Caenorhabditis elegans: one gene and its partners. The protein of the gene in region 2 interacts with the protein of the main gene of each other region in a pairwise test. Each region holds a gene or a part of one and is shown on either strand. Other genes may lie near its edges.

Region 1 (4,713 bases), on a different chromosome or scaffold from region 2:
AAAATTGTTTTGACTTGTTGAGTGGGAGGAGAAGGAAATGGGTTGACGTATTGAGTCAGTTGAGTGTCATGAAGCATTTTTAAAATGCTAGAAAGGGAGTGGCTAAAATCAAACAATCGGATGGGTCAAATGATGCGTGACTTTTTGATTAACAGGCTGGAAATTCTACCGAGTTAAGCACTTTTTCATGATAAGTCTGAAATCATTCACATTTCAAAGTCGCACTTCTTAAAGTTCCTAAAAATACTAGATATATTTTTAGATGGCAACTTTTTTTCTGAAATATTCAGAATAAAAAATATTCAATGCGGCATCAAAAATAGTTTTAAAGGAAGATTACTTAGTATCAATTTATGAGTGATTTAATACTATAAAACAAACAGAAACTCTTATTTACCACTTACAAAAGGGAAGAGATTATGAACTGATATTGATAAAACAAGAGTTGCCTCGATTTGGAAAAAAACAACTTTTTTTCAGTTTCTTAACAAAACAATACGAAAAAGAAATTCAGATGAAGTTTTTGTTCATAAGATTTTTTTTTAAGACAGCGTTATATCGAATCAATATTTTTGGTTTTCTAAAAAAAATAATTTTAATTGGATCGAAAGTTAAATTATTGTTTTGTATTTTTATTGTTCTGCACAACGCAACAAAAAGAGAAACAACATTTAATGGAAAATAAAATGCATCAAAAAGTAATGCTCTCAATTATGGCTCATTTTGAAGGCGTTCGTCAACTCAACCGGAGCAAGGATGAAATGGGCTATTGAAAGAACATTAAAGTACGCACGAAAACAAAACGTTAATTCGAAAATAGGTATTTATGAAAATGATTTTTTTCAATTCTATACGGATGAAAACAATAATTTAAATGTGTCCTGAGGTTATTGTTTTCAAATTTCCTTAAAATTAATTTTGGAATTATTTTTAGAGTTTAGGAAATCACATGTAAAATGGAAAGGCCTCAATTCTGAACTTTTGAACTTTTTTGCGCGGGGTAAAAAATTAGCGCGGATTTACCCAACGAAAAATTTCAAGGATTTTCCAAATTATAAGCTTACAAACCGTTACACAAACAACATTACGATTCAAAATAATTATTCCAGTATAAATTGAATATAAACCTAGCTCAAAATTCGCCAAATTATTACTGATTTGATAATAATATTAGCCAGTAAGATTGAAACCAGAAACAAATATGAAAGAAGATTTCAAACTCGATTACATGAAGCAAGCCTAGAGAGAAAATATCGCAATTTTTCTGAAAACTTAATGTGATACATGTAGTGCCAACTTGGCAGATGTCCTATATGTCTTCGAACGTGAACTTTAAATTTTAAATTCGTCTTCATTTCAGCCACCCACTAGTTTGATATCCGATATCCTACGTCCAGAATTGTGCCGCCCACTTCATAATTTTCGGATAAATATCAGTTTCAAATGGTTACCACATTAGCAAAGTACCTACCACCTATGATCTTCGTTCAAAATTTCAGCTCGTGACTCACTCCCTCTTCTTTTTCATTGCTATAAAATGTGTTTGCAAATGTTATTTGCTCTACGAAACACAAAATATGCAAGTATTGTCGTCGCCCATCATCAAAGTCATAAACGGGACAGTGTCATTAGTTTCGATTCTCTTCGCTTTTTTCTCCCGCATTTTTTATCACTGATAACAAGACCTCGTCCACCTGCTCCCTCTCCTCCCTTTTTTCTTTGCATTTTCAGAAGAAGGACATATCAGTGTTGGCATTGTTGGTTGATTCACAGAGAAGTTATTATGTTCATCACTGCATTAATTGCAAAGGAACTTGGATTGTCTCGAGTTAAAGAACTTAATCCTACTGTCACTATCAATGGTGTCACAACCGTGGAGTTAGAGGTAACTTTATAAATTAGTTCATAGTTGAAAACTCATATATTAAACCAATAGGAACTATTTGAGGGCATTGCAAAAATCTCAAAAACTTTTAACTCAAAATTTAAATGTACTACAGATATCAAGTACTATAAAATTATTGTAACTCCTATTACTGTTAGTTTTTTTAATGGCTCAAATTTTAAAAGGATTTTGCAAATTTTTTAAATATTGCAAATATGATGCCAAAATCGTATACGTTACATTGTCGACTCTCTTAATCTGACTATTATTTTCAACGATTAGAAAAAACCGTCAACGCTAGATTAAGATATTTTTAGACAATTTTTAATGTTTAATTTCAAAAATTTTCGAAAATGTTGCTTGTGAAATTATCTTTGAACTTCACTTTTAAAGGTGCTAGTACGAATTACTTTCCAATGTTTTGTCTTCGTACAAAGCTTTCATGTTTTTTAATTCCATATTACCTCTTTAAAATTAATACTTCATGTTTGTGTTTTTGGATGGAGTGTATTATATTGGGAGTTAAATGAGCACAAAGATTATTCCGGTTATAAGGAAATTTCGTTCAAGTCGTTTCATTTTCTAATGACGTTTTTTGTGGAAATTTTTAACTGCCTGTTTTACTGATAAGAAAACGGAAATATTGTTAAATAAACAAGTTTTTCAAAATTGAACTCAATACGGTTGAAACAAAAAAAAATAATTAAAATATTGGAAGTATAGTATTAGGATTAGATTTAAACTTTCTACGAAATTGTTCCAAATTCGAAAGAAATGTGCCAAAATGTGATACTGAATGACCTTTGAATGAGGCCAATTTCTTTCTCCCGCCCTTCTAGAATATCATCGTTTTCTGGTTTTAGACAGCGGAGGGCCTCTTCCGAGTGCATTTGGTGAGAGATGATCAAGATGTTATAGTGAAACTAGAGGAAGGAAGCAAGCTTGCCGCCTACTACAATTCACTTTTCTGGCATGAGATATCAACGTTTGAGAAGATTCCTATTCCAAGTGCACATTTTAATCGATCGTTTGTTGTGACGGAAGATGAAAACAAACATTCTGTCTATGTTACTCAATTTTTGAAGAAAGGAAGTGTTCGTACCAAATTGGGATTACCAGAATTGGAACAAGTTGCCTCACAGATTGCAAAGTTACACGCTGTCAACTCAAAAACTATCAATAAACAATTCTCACTCAATGTGCAAGAAAATTATGGAAACATCATATCATTCAAAAAGAAAATTCAAAAAGAATTGATTGAAGTGTTGGAAACAGCAGTAACTACTACAGAAGTTGCAGACTACTTCATGAATCCATCCTCAGTTATTGAAAAAGTTGGAATTTTGACTCATTACTTGGAAGATTGGAAAGATGAAGATGCAGATGAAAAGGAAAAACATAATGTTATCGCACATGGAAGATTGACAGCTGAGATTTGCAGATTTGATGAGGATGGGAATTTGGTAGAGATCACAGAATGGGAAGTACGTAATTATTTTTAAAATAGAAAAAACTGCGTTCTACTATAATTTTTACTTTTGATCTTTCAACAACGAAAACCTAATTAATTTAGAACATTCATCTTGGAAATCCAGTGGAGGATTTAGCAAATTTGATTGTTTCATCTGCAGATGTCGACATTCGACGAAAAAAGTTCATGAAAGTGGGTTCGAGAGTCTTATGGGAACGGCAGAGCACCAGATGTTTTTGATGTAATTTGTTTTAATTTTAGATATTTCAAGTCTATTTTTATGCACTTGTTGACTATTACCCACCAAAGTATCAACTGCATGATTTGAAAAGATGGTTCCAGGAATATCAACCTACAGTTCTAATCAATGGGTGAGTTTAGGTTTCAAATTTTCAAATGTTTTAAAAGACCAAAAAGTTGTCGTACTTTTGATATTTTTTATAAAATAGTGTTTTACCGGATTTTCAAGAAAATAATTTTTCAAGGCATTTTAGGTTGCCCCAAATTTTCAGAACACTAGTCCCATTAAATAAAATTTCTAATCATTTCCAGAATCGAGTCTCTACTTTTTACACTGAGTGAAGGTTCGGATGACGTCAAACAAGATGCTGCACGTCGATGGGAGACAGCGTTGAATGATACTGTAGATTTCTTGACTGGAAACTACATTTCGGATAATGAGCACCCATTTCTCTCACAAAAAGAGAATGATGATTGAAGAATAAGATAACGTATTTGCTTTTTTTTTCAAAGAATCGAGAATAAATGACCGAATTCAAAAATAAAGATTGGTCGTTTTTTCTTGGTGACGAATGAATAAATCTTCAATACAAGAACGGAAAGATGCATCTCTTGACAACGTAGATATACGGACGACAAAATAATAAATGTATGACGTGTGAGAAAACACTTGAAGCTTGCTTAAAAAAGGGATTGGGTGTCTTCGAGAAAATCAGAACATTTCTTTCAAATTAAATTATGTAAGAAGATGTTCATATTACAATATATAAATAGCAATATACTATTTATAAATTATATTGTAAATAGATATTAATTACTTAATTTATTTATTTACGCTCGCGAAGAGACGTGGAAAAAGTTGAAGAAAAAAGAAAAATGTACACATAATAGATCATAAATACAATACACTGAATAAGAGGGATAGAAACAAGAAGAATAAATAGGAACGAAAGTTTGTTAACAGGACAGTTAGGTCAGGCGGGAGGAGATAATGTTATGTGGGTAGTTCATGAATCATCAGTTGTCAGACATCTCGTTATTCAAGATCTGATATATGTTTTAGAAACTTGGGGCTACTCAGCGTACGGTTTACAATAAAATGCTTATTGTAAATAAT
Region 2 (7,591 bases):
CACAAATATATGATTTATTGGCAGGTTATTATCAGTTTGTGCCAATTTATTATCGAAGAACAGTTTGATTAAATCAAGTAAAGTCAGAAAGTCTATTCAACTTTTATTAAGAATTTTAAATATTTTCTATAATCTCCAAGAGTTCGACTCATATTAATGTGTATTCTTTACATTATAACTTTTAAAATTCAATTTTTTTCGCTTAAAAGTTCAAAAATCTGAAAAGAACAATCGGACAATCGTTGTGGTCGTCATAGAGCTGAAATGATCTACGAATAGTTCAAAGTACTGTATAATCTAGTAGCCATATACATTTTCATAATCCTCTCCGTATTTCTTTTCACCAATCCGCTCCGTCATTTTGCATTTTTAACAAGTTTCGGTTATTCCATATTTTCATTTACATAACTTACACGTTTATGTTTCTATTTCATGTTAATTCCATAGTATTCTGGATGGTTCCAAAATAGTTTTGAATTGTATATTGTTTGAATTGGTCCAACTCCGAGAATTACCAAAAGTTTAGAACATTTGAAGAAAACATAACAATGTTTGGTTATTGATAACATAAATTTTGTTGAATCTTCAAGCTTCATTTATTCATATTTTTCCAAATTTCAAAAAAGGATTTCTAAATTTAAAATGTCCACTAAACAATCCTTAATCTCTTGGCAGCTCCTCTTCTTCACACGTGGTTTTTTTCAGTTATCAGAACAATAATCGGTGGTGTGCCAGCTTGCTGAATTGGCTTGGCAAACTTTTTTTGCGTCCTTCTCCGCCACCGTCACTCGTTATCATCAATCACAAATTTTTGGCTGCTGCCACGTTAGACTCTGATTTGTAAGGGGGACATGAACTATTATCAGAAGCTAATTCTTAAATTCTAAAATGAAAATATTAATTTAGAAAAACGAGAAATAGATAATAAATGGAAACCTACTCTCGTTTCTTTCTCCAATAAATCAAATAAAAATAAGAAAAGTGCGACTGGTTGAGTCGTTACCTAACTTTATCAATATTTGATTAGAACTTAACAATGTTTTTGAAATGATCCACTTGGACGTACAAGAGGTAGTACACATTAAACTGACCGTTCGATTTTTTTTCTTAACTTTAATTCACTTAGAGAAAGGTAAAAGGAATCCATATATAAATTACGGGATGTAAATAATATTTTATTATTAAAGAAAGGTTTTAAAACAAACTATGTAGAATCTAGTCAAATAAGTAATTTTCTATTTCTGGAGATAATTTTATTTAAAATTGAATTTTCTTAATTACAGAGAAATTACGTTCAAAATCTCATTAAAAGATGTGATAACCCGACACCTCAATACATTGACCGTTTAATTTCTTTCCGTTTTCATATATATTTTCATCTAAACACATTCATATATTTATATATACAAATGAAACCTAAACCCGTTTAATAATCCGCCTGACCGTCTATCCATCCTGTCCGTCCGTCTATCCTCCTGTCCACCTTCCGACCACAATTACCGTCCCTTTTTCTTTCATTTTCACCGTTTATTTTTCTGAAATCCGTTGCTTTAATATGTATACATTTATATATACTTTTTTCCAGCAACAACAAATAGAAGAACACGAATTTTAATTTCAATTAATTCAAAATTTTTCCCATATCGACGCTGCCGTTTGCAGCACCATCTGTTAAAATGGAACAACTTGATGTCGAAGATTGGGAGTATTGGGGTGATGAATATCTTGAAGAAGAACCAACTTATGCAATAAGACCTGGTACAAGAGTTGTGAAAGTTGAAAGGTTAGTAAATCGATTATTATAACTTTTCTGTGCATTTGAACTTGCATCATAACCCTAACTTTTTTGAGAATTAATATCAAATTATTAAGATTTATTTGCTCAATTGATCAGTTGGAGATCATTTCATAGTTTTTTCTTTAATTTTTTGAACTTGTGAGATAAATAATTTTCAAAAAATTTTGTTTACCGAAGCCGCCAAAAAATTTTATCTCAAATATATAGCTCTAGTGGCTCTTTGATAAAAACATTGAAAATTGAAAAGAAAAGATTTACTTGAAACCCCATTTAATGCTAAATCTAAATTTATTCAAAGTCAATGTGATACAAAATCCCTTCAGGCCTTAAACTTTTACATCTATTCTGATATCAAAGCATTTGATAGTTTCAAAGAAATTACGACATTTTGGCAATCAATCGCTGATCTTCTGACGTTTTCAGATCAATTGACAATGATTTAAATGAACTTTTGAGCAATTATCTCAACTCATTAGAGCCATTAGATAGTTTTCAAGAAGCTGCAAGTACGTGTTCTATTTGCATTTTAATTCTAATTCCCTTTTGTATAGGACAGAGTCTCCCCTTTGTTATCTTATTCTTGCCCCGCCACGACGCAACAACCATTTTTGTGATAATAATTTGCAATTTTATCAATGGCACTACTACCTCTGATCACCACCATCTCACACATACTTTGTAAAAGCGCGTCGATCGTAAATACTACTGTCTTGCCACTTTAGTAGTAACCCTGCCACGTGGAAACTTTGAAATTTGGCGTGGAAATGAGTGAAGAGGCACGTGACAAGATGCGCGCGAAGAATGATCAAATTGCGATAAAAAGGGATAGGTGAATGATCTTTGTGATTTGAATGCTACTTGAGGAATGGTTTACATGGAAATTGAGAAAAAGTAAAATAAAAGGGTTCAAGGACGGTAATCGATCAATTTGAATGAATGAAGAAAGATATGATTGTGATTGATAAAAGGAATTTGCTACAAGAAACCGAGACGAACTGCATCGGTTCATATGAGTCAGATGTGTTCTTCGGTTGAAGAAGATCACTTAATTTAGTGAGAAGTTTCTTTTGAGATTCAATTTTGATTATATTCTTAGAAGTTTTCAGAAAGACAGTTTAGTATTCACTCCACAAGGTTAATAGCTAAAAGTATTCTCTACTCGATTCGAAAAATAATTTTTGCGGGTTTTTACTTTTAGTATAAAATATTTGAATTTGAAAAAATCTCTAGTTAGTAGTTTGTTCGTGTGCAAAGCTTAAACAGGATAATTAAAGTATTTTAAAATATAATCCAGCTTTGATTCTAGATCACAATTCAGCATCTACTTATAGATAAACTAGTATATGTTAACTTCCCCTATCCTATCCAATAACCTTTTCCTTATTCAGCTGTAAACAACAATTGATACAAGTTATCTTATCTCCAAATGCCTCCTCCAATTTTATGAGACCCGTAAAAAAATTCGATAGACAAAAAGCATTACGATTTTATTTATTTTGGTGACATTTTGGATCCTTGTAGTCAGAGGCTCTATCATTTGATCTTCTAATATATCTTTACAAAAAGGCAATACATCCAATTAGCCCAATTAGTCTGCACGTCTTGATATAAATATGACATCATACATTTACTGATTCGAATCGTTGATTTTTAATTTAGAATTAAGGATAAACAGAAAGAAGATTTAAGTGTTTGATTGGAGAATATAGGCATCCTATGCTAAAAGCTATCTCTAATTTATTACTGACATCATCCGTTTCTCGTCTGTGTTTCATGTATCTTTATCACCTTTCCCTCCTCTAGTAGAATGACCTAGAAAGTGATTGGCAAGTCTGGCAAGCCTACAGGGGGACAAGGGTTATAAGATTGATAGGTAATAAATTCTTGTAAAATGAAGAAAAAAAATTCTGTGCGGATAAACGAAGCGGAAATCATCATTGTGTGCGTGCTTTGAGGAAAGGTTCGCGCCTGTTTACTTGCCTTGTTCGGAGGTCGAGATTTCGGACACGAACCACCTCATATTTTTCTCTCGTTTCTTTTCTTCGATTCTCTTTTTTCCATTACTATCTCTCTTCCTTTGGTTCTTATTTTCTCGACAGTCTCTTTTGGTCAGTATAGTTCCTAACTAGGAACTGTTCGAAATCTGGCATGATAATTCTTCAAAAACGCTTATGAAACTTCAAAAACTCGGACTATTTTACTGTGAAAGTATATACCTCCGTTCGTTTCAACAAAAAAAAAGTTAAGCTTTGAAACTATAGAAAAATTAATAATACATCTGCTGCCAGTTGATTTTAAATTGATTCAATCGAAAATAGCCAAGATATCAGGTGCCAAAGTTGAGCAAGATTAATTGAGAAAATAATGTTTTTGGGAGTGCATTTTTTCAAATATACAAGTAGTTTATCAACAAAAAATTATTTTGTACTGGTGTAATTGATTTAAAAAACAAGTAATTGATGTGAAAAACAAGCTTAAATACTGTTCTAAAATAAAGTTACAGGTGTTAAAATGTTTTAAACAAATTATTTACTATTTGTTCAAAACCTTAGTGACATCTAATCTTTATGTTTTCATTTTCTCTTCATCCTCTCAAGCGTCTTCTGTTTTGTATTCTTCTTCTTCTTTATTTCAAATCAGTGTCTCTTTCGCCTTGTTATCAGTAAATCGTCGTCGTCTTCTCCTCCTTCATCTCCTTTTATTTCAATGTCACTCCCACTTAATTTCCCCCATTTTGTAATATTATCATAGAGAGACACCGCCCCATAGGTATTCCCCCAAATACGTCAGTTTTTCCACGTGGAACTTTTTGGTCTTTTTGATGTGTGAACTTTGATAGTTTGCAACAAATTGAAATTATGAATTTTTTTTATCATCAATGGAATTGGTCACTGTTCCAATGATTTTTTAATTGGATTCTTAAATGCCTTTTGGCTAGAAAACTTTGCACATTTAGCTCCGATTAAGCAATGAATTTTTACAATAACAAAAAAGTGCCTATCGACTTTCAATTCCGCTTCCACACACAAAATTTTGCAATTTTGAAACTGAAAAAACCGTATCAAATATAATACTCTTTTGAAAGTTTAATCACTTGAAAAATGTAATTCCGTCTTCACCAAAAAACGTTGTATTTTCCAAGACACAAATTATTGTGGGAAGATCAAGAAATCAAAATTTCAAGGACACACTCTAGTTTTTAAATTTTATTATTTTTGTGTTTGAAACTAATTTTCCCGATCTTTTAACTTTAAAATTTCCAGAGTTCCAATGATGCGAGGAGATTTAAGGACAAGCGGTGCCACGTCATCAAGTGGTCCCGCCACGTCATATATCATCAGGCCCAGTGACAAGCAACCCACAGTTTCTAGTGGTGGATCACAGAATGGAGATTCAGTTTGTGCTGTTTGTGGTGACGGAATTGCAAAATTACATTATGGAGTACTTGCATGTTATGGATGTAAAGGATTCTTTAGAAGAACACTGACTGGAAAATATCGATATGCATGCAGATTCTCAAATAATTGTATTGTTGATAAATGTAAGTTTTTTAAAGAATAAATTCGAATATACTTGACTGAGTATCTTTATAATCAAGAAAATACCTGAAGTTTCGGTTTTCAGTCCAGCGAAATAGTTGCCGATACTGCAGATTTCAACGTTGTATTCAAGCAGGAATGGATCCAAAAGCAGTCAGGCCGGATAGGGATCAGACAGGAAAACAGAAAGTTCCAAGAATTAAGAAGAAGCAAATTGATGAGGAGCTTTTAAATCATATGGTATGTTTTGAAAATGTAGATACACTGAAAAAAAACTGGTGGCAAATTTAAAATTTCCAAAAATTTGACAATTCACAAAAACTTGACATAAAATTATGGAAAATCTCAAAATGATTTGAGTGTTTTTTGTGATGTTTTCTATTTGTTCTGGAATAATCGAGTGAAAAATGTTTATGCATATTCAAACAGTTAAAATTTAGTTTGTGTTGTTGATAAAATCCAGAATAACTTACACTATACATGAATGATGTATAAATTAATACTTGAAATTTTCAGATGCGGTTACAAGGAGATGATTGGTCACGAAAACTTCCTGTCGAGACTCGAATTTTATTAATGCAATTGATGAGTATTGAGGATAAAGTAGTAAAAGGAGATAATAATATGAGTGCACAAAACACTGCAAAAGATCCAAAAAGTATTTCATTACGGGAAATGTTTGAATCAAAACCTGCATTAGATGGTCGACGGATGGAAATTGGTTATGAACCATTTCGAATGGCAAGAACTGAAGAACTTGGAGTAATTGCTCATAGAAGAGCAATTGCAGCTGTTGATTGGGTTGATTCATTAACTGAAATTGCGGATGCAGTTGATACTGAAGATAAAGTTGCATTGGTTAAAAGTTGTTACTCGCCGTTAACTATTTTCAATTTCTCTGCGAGAACTGCTCAGAATACGAAGAATCCGGATATTTTGTGTCTTTGCAGTCATTCATTTGTTCCAAGAAGATTGCCTCCAGAGTTTAATGAGACAAAGTAAGTTGGAATTTTAATTTAATTCCAATTTTTATCAACGCAATAAAAATATATGAAAAATACTATTTAAAATTAAAGAAAATTAATTTGATTTATTCAGTCATCTCTCAAACTTCCTGATTGATCGAACGTTAAATGAATTGGTGGCTCCATTGAGAAAATTAAATCTGAAAGAAGAAGAAATTGTTCCATTAAAAGCAATTATTATTTTAAATCCAAATGCAAAAGGACTATCCGAGCATGCGAGGCACGCGATTTCTGAGTTGAGAGATAAAGTTCAAGATATGCTTTTCCAAATTGTCAAGGAGCTTCATCCAATCTATTCTGCAAGCAGCCGATTTGGAAACTTGTTGCTTCTTCTGCCAACAATTACTGTTAGTCGTCATTACTGTTGCATTCTCTATTTCAAAACATTTCAGACTCTTTCCGGATTGATGTCTGAAAACATGCATTTCTGTCAAGCTCTTGGAGGACGTGCAAGTGGAGATAACTTGTTAGCTGAAATGTTTGGAGATAGAACATTTGATGATCAACTTATCAGCAGCAGCATTAGCCCACCACTATTCGAGAATCCAGCTGAAATTTGTTTAGAGGTCAGTTCACTAAAAATGACTGAAAGATCAAACTTTATATCATTATCTTTTTCTTTTAATTGTCATTAAAACTATAAACTCATTAAAACTATAAAATTTCGGAGTTTCTCGGAGAATTGAAAGTTGAAATTTGCCAACTACCAACTGATAAATGGCAATGATAAGAGTGTGCAAAAATCTAATTTCTTGTTTGTTTGCAGAGTATCTCACCGCCAATGTCTGATCGAAGATTCGTGAGAAGGGTAGATGTGGCAACACAGACAAATGATGATTTGTTATCATCTGGACCATATCTTCCACATTCAAATTCATGTAGCTCCATGCTTAATGCTGGATACTCTCCTCCAATGGTGAGAGAAGTTTGAAAATATTTATGGAATTTGAGGGAAAATATGTTGAAACTTTCTTGGATAGTAAAGATTCTAAATTGAGGGAACTAGCTTCAATGCGTTTTACACAAACATATTCTTAAGAATATACAAGAAGTTTGAAAAACGTTCAAAAAAGCTCAGATAGAGGCTGTGACTATTATCGATTTTTCTTTTATACAAATCGGTACCTATTTTTGCTAACTCGCTCCAAGTCTCTTAACATTTTTTTCTTGGGAATTTCTATTTCTATTATTAACACCGTTTCAAGTTAAGACTAAAGTGGTCGAGCCCA
Region 3 (4,163 bases), on a different chromosome or scaffold from region 2:
AGAATGAAATTCCTTCTCGCAGTTTTTCTGCTAGCCGTATGTAGCCTCGGAGAGTCGAAAAAACCAAAGTGAGCCAGTTTATTGGTTGATTTTTCCATCTTTATCGATTTTTCAGGGCACAGAAGGTTATCTACGTGCAGAAGGTGGTGCCGCCCCAGAAGCAGGTAGGATTTGAATTTTTAGCCAAAAACTTGGATATATTGAAGCTCTCCGAATACGACCTCTGCAAGGAGCAATGCCGAATCGAAAGCGAGACGCAATCCAACAAAGAACGCGTCGAGCTTTTGAAACAGGAGATCGACCGAGCTGAGCAGTTGCTCGCCGAGCACAATAAACACGTGGATGCTCCGGAAATCGCACCCGAAACGTACATGGAAGCTGGTCAGGTTCCGCCAATGCGTAAGGCTAGCCGTTACGATCATTTGAAAATGGCAGCCAACAAAATTGTCGAGTCGACGAGTGAGCTGAAAAATGCGGTGACAGGTGGAGGGGATAATTGAATTGTTTTTGAATTGTAATTGTGTAAATTTTTGAATTTTATAAATAAAAATCTGGGTTTCATAGAGATCATTGGCAGGATTGATTAGATAAAGTAGAAAATGGCATAAAAAAAACAAAATTAAAAAGTTATGAGTCAAAATCATCGTCTGGAGCTCTTCGCTTGAGCATATTCTGTACATGCTCCGGCCGTAGCACTTGTGTTGGTGGTTCGATGATATGTGGCTGATGGGTGACTTGTTGCATTTCCATTCTGAAAACTTGAAAATTTTGAATTTGATATGTATAATTTCATTTTACTACAGAAAAAAAAAACGCATGCCATAAAGATTTAAAAACAATAACTAAATGGAATATTGTCGGAAAATATGTGACTTTTAGTTTTGTGTCAAGGTTTTGTATTTTTGATTCGAAAAAACAATTTTTGAGATGAAAATGCAAATTTGAATCAATATTTTTCAAATGAAACTGACAGTAGCCACAAAAAGCATTGAAAATCGACAAGTTTAAATATAGAATTTCTGTAAATTTTTAGAATGAAAATTTCGGAAAAAATTTATATTTCGGCTCAAAAAGCGGTGAAAACTTAGTTTTTAACAAATGTTTTTGGAAGTTATCGATTAAAAAAAACTTATTCCATGTCTTATGCATTCATATTTAATTATTTTGGGGGCACGAAAATGCGAAAGTGTTTTCGATTTCTCGAAAGGTGGCTCCAAACAACACCTTTTTTTACTTGAAACAAAAAATCTTCTATAAATTTGGTACTTTTCCTTTTCTACCCCGCATTTTTCTGGAACATTTTCTTGGATAAAAATGTGAACTTTTTCTGTAATTTTGTTTTCTAATGGGGTTATTCAAGTAGTGTCGGAAAATTAAAAAGTGTAGATTAATTACGTCACAACTGTATTCAAGTATATAAAAACATGTATTTAAATACATTTGTGACGTCACAAATGTATTTAAATACATTTTGCTACATTACTTGAATAACCCCATAAGCCTGAAAATGATTCACGTGAGAATTAAATTTGAATAATTCAATGTTTTGAATATTCATTTAAAAATGCGGTGTAAAAAAGGAAAAGTATCATAATTTTTTTAAAAGTTCTATTGTGAGTTTTTATTGTTATTTTGTCATTTTTGAACCATAGGAATGGTTTTTAATAGTTTCCCCACTGGTCGTACTCCACTTTAAAATACCTTCTTTCCGTTTAAAATCAAATTTTTACAGATTTTTCAAGATATATCGAGAAAAAAAACGTACGGCTGATAACTGTCGTCAGCTTTGTACACAAAATTCTGCTGTAATTGACAGAATCGATCGTTGGGCAGCTTCAGGCCATAATTGTGTCGAATTTGCGGTAGGGGCTGCTGATTTTTGTCATTCGCCAATTGCAGAATCTTCTCACGGTCCGGAGCGTTTGTGGTCAGAACGCCGAGCATGTCGGCCGCCGTTTGAACGTCTTCTGCCTCGATTTGCGCTTTTTCAGCATGCCTGGACAGTCCACTTGACATTTGGAGGATTTTTGACGTCACTGCGTATTGAACCTGGAAAAAATCATTATTTTTTGAATTTTTAGAGCTCAATTTTGTATTTTCTCACATCCATAAGCATTGAAACGACGCGTGGATCAAACTCTTGAATTCCACACTCGTGGAGCATGCTTATTACAGCAAGCGCCTCTTTACTGTGTCCATCGGTACCACTTGCCGTCGTTTCTGTGTCTTTTTCTCCTGTATCTGCCATTTTTCTTTCTGAAAATGCAATTATATGGATTTCCCCACAAAAATAACGGAGAGGAAATACAGAAATATCATGTGAGATGTAACACGAAATACAAAAATTATGAAATTAGAATTAAAATTTAGAAAAATTCATCTTAAAACACGGAGGATACAAAGTTGTTCACTGAATCGTTGCAAGTTTTTTTTGGTGAACTGGGAGAGAGCGAATAAGAAATAGAATTAACGGATGCAAAAAAGTCGATAAATAAATAGATTGTGTGGAAAATGCCGAGGAAATTAATGGAAATGATATATTTACATCAGCTGAATTCGATTATTTTTTAGGAGTTCATGACAGCGCGTACGAAATCCGAGATATTGACGTTTCCGTGAGAATCGTTGTGTCCGGAGAGCAATTGATCGACGTCTTCATCGGATAGGCGTTCTCCTTGAAAAAAAATTGATAAAATTGGGGTAAACTTTAAAATTGTATAGACCAGCAGAACATTTTTGAAAAGCTACTTATATATTAATTTTTTGATAATATTCACTCAAAATCCTACCAAGAGTGGTGAGCAAGTGTCGGAGCTCTGCGACATTGATCATTCCGTTTCCCTCCTTGTCGAAATGCGACAACCCCTCGACGAACTCCTCAACGGTGTGCTTTTCACTGAAATTATGTAGAAATTGAAATTTATTAACTGAAAATTCGCCACGAACCGATTCTTGGACACCGACTGGAAAATTGGGACAAAGTCCTCGAATGAAAGCCGAGCTTCCCGATCGAACGAGCCGACACATTTGTGAATTTCGGCTTCTGTTGGGTTCTGGCCGAGCGCGCGGAGCACATCACCGACCTGAAATATGAATTTTGGATTAAAAAAGTAAAATATTGAATTAAAAACCTGCTGAACAGAGATTCGCTCGTCGCCTTTGCTGTCAAAATAGGCGAAAACCTCACGACAATCAGCCAAATCGTCCATTTCTCACAGCTGAAATTGGAAAATTGAGAAGACGGGATGAAAACGAAAATCGATTATCAGTGAGTGAGAAGTTGGCGATAAAAGAGAGAATGAGTCACGGGGACGAAACAATTCGGGAGGAAAATGGGTGGGCGGTAGAAGATTTTCGAAGAGAGCTGAAAACATTTCATGCCTTCCAGAAATTCTCAAGCAAAAATTCAGCCTTTCTCGGCTATTTCCCGAGAAAAACGAGTTTCACAACACATTATTCACCGCACATGAACTGAAATGGCGATCGATTGGCGAGTTTATTTGAATAGTAGACACACACAGCAGAAGAGACGACCAAAACGGGCAGTTTCCCCGCGCGGCGGTGTCCTGACTGTCCGTTCAACCGCGTGAGAGTGTGTGGAGATGGTGGAGACGCGAGGAAGAACAACATCCCGAATTCTTGTTGTTCGGAACTTTTTCTCACCGATTCATCGACAAGATACCAATAGTTTGGAGGTTATCCGGCGGGAAAAAGAGGGTTAACAGAGGGCAATTAGAATTAAAATTCGAATTTTCGAGTTGCGGCATGAGCATAGAGCACAGAGAAGCAAAGAGCGCCCAAGTTGCCACGGAAACCATGCACATTACGTGCTGAATACAATTCCTGCGAAATTTTACAGAAAAATCTATTTTTCTGCAGAATTTCAAGGATAATTATCGATAAGCCAAAAAATTGATATAAAACAAAAAATTTTCGGGCGCCAATTTCAAATGCCATGGCGCAATGCACAACGGGCGCTAGATCCCACGCGCAAATGCACAGAATATGCCTGTTTTGAAATTTATTTTTCTCGAGAATTTCTAGAATTTTCGATAATTCAAAGGAGTTTTTTGGTTTAAAAGGCGTTATTCTAATTTTTTGATCTAAATTATCAGGTATTTATCTATTTTTCACTTTAAATCCCCTCTTTGCGTAGTCGGAAC

What was found.
Region 1: the proteins of nhr-31 (region 2) and C50F4.1 interact in a two-hybrid assay, tested with the Caenorhabditis elegans proteins (one large-scale study listed by BioGRID).
Region 3: the proteins of nhr-31 (region 2) and taf-9 interact in a two-hybrid assay, tested with the Caenorhabditis elegans proteins (one large-scale study listed by BioGRID).

The regions. Positions count from the first base shown.
Region 1 is NC_003283.11:9,525,062-9,529,774, forward strand, and holds C50F4.1 (CHK kinase-like domain-containing protein), read left to right. Parts: upstream 1-1,731; 5' UTR 1,732-1,783; coding exon 1,784-1,885; intron 1,886-2,748; coding exon 2,749-3,369; intron 3,370-3,458; coding exon 3,459-3,548; intron 3,549-3,617; coding exon 3,618-3,727; intron 3,728-3,908; coding exon 3,909-4,074; 3' UTR 4,075-4,189; downstream 4,190-4,713.
Region 2 is NC_003282.8:8,023,508-8,031,098, reverse strand, and holds the start of nhr-31 (Nuclear hormone receptor family member nhr-31), read left to right. Parts: upstream 1-1,585; 5' UTR 1,586-1,676; coding exon 1,677-1,783; intron 1,784-2,441; exon of another isoform or gene 2,442-2,588; intron 2,589-5,061; coding exon 5,062-5,339; intron 5,340-5,422; coding exon 5,423-5,577; intron 5,578-5,853; coding exon 5,854-6,335; intron 6,336-6,435; coding exon 6,436-6,709; intron 6,710-6,754; coding exon 6,755-6,928; intron 6,929-7,128; coding exon 7,129-7,278; intron 7,279-7,591. UniProt on the Caenorhabditis elegans protein: Orphan nuclear receptor.
Region 3 is NC_003281.10:13,622,369-13,626,531, reverse strand, and holds taf-9 (Transcription initiation factor TFIID subunit 9), read right to left. Parts: upstream 2,257-4,163; 5' UTR 2,249-2,256; coding exon 2,105-2,248; intron 2,050-2,104; coding exon 1,766-2,049; intron 752-1,765; coding exon 628-751; 3' UTR 525-627; downstream 1-524. Other genes in the region: T12D8.5 (uncharacterized protein), read left to right, coding at 4-68, 116-164, 207-500; mlc-5 (Myosin-2 essential light chain), read right to left, coding at 2,568-2,674, 2,790-2,896, 2,947-3,083, 3,132-3,209.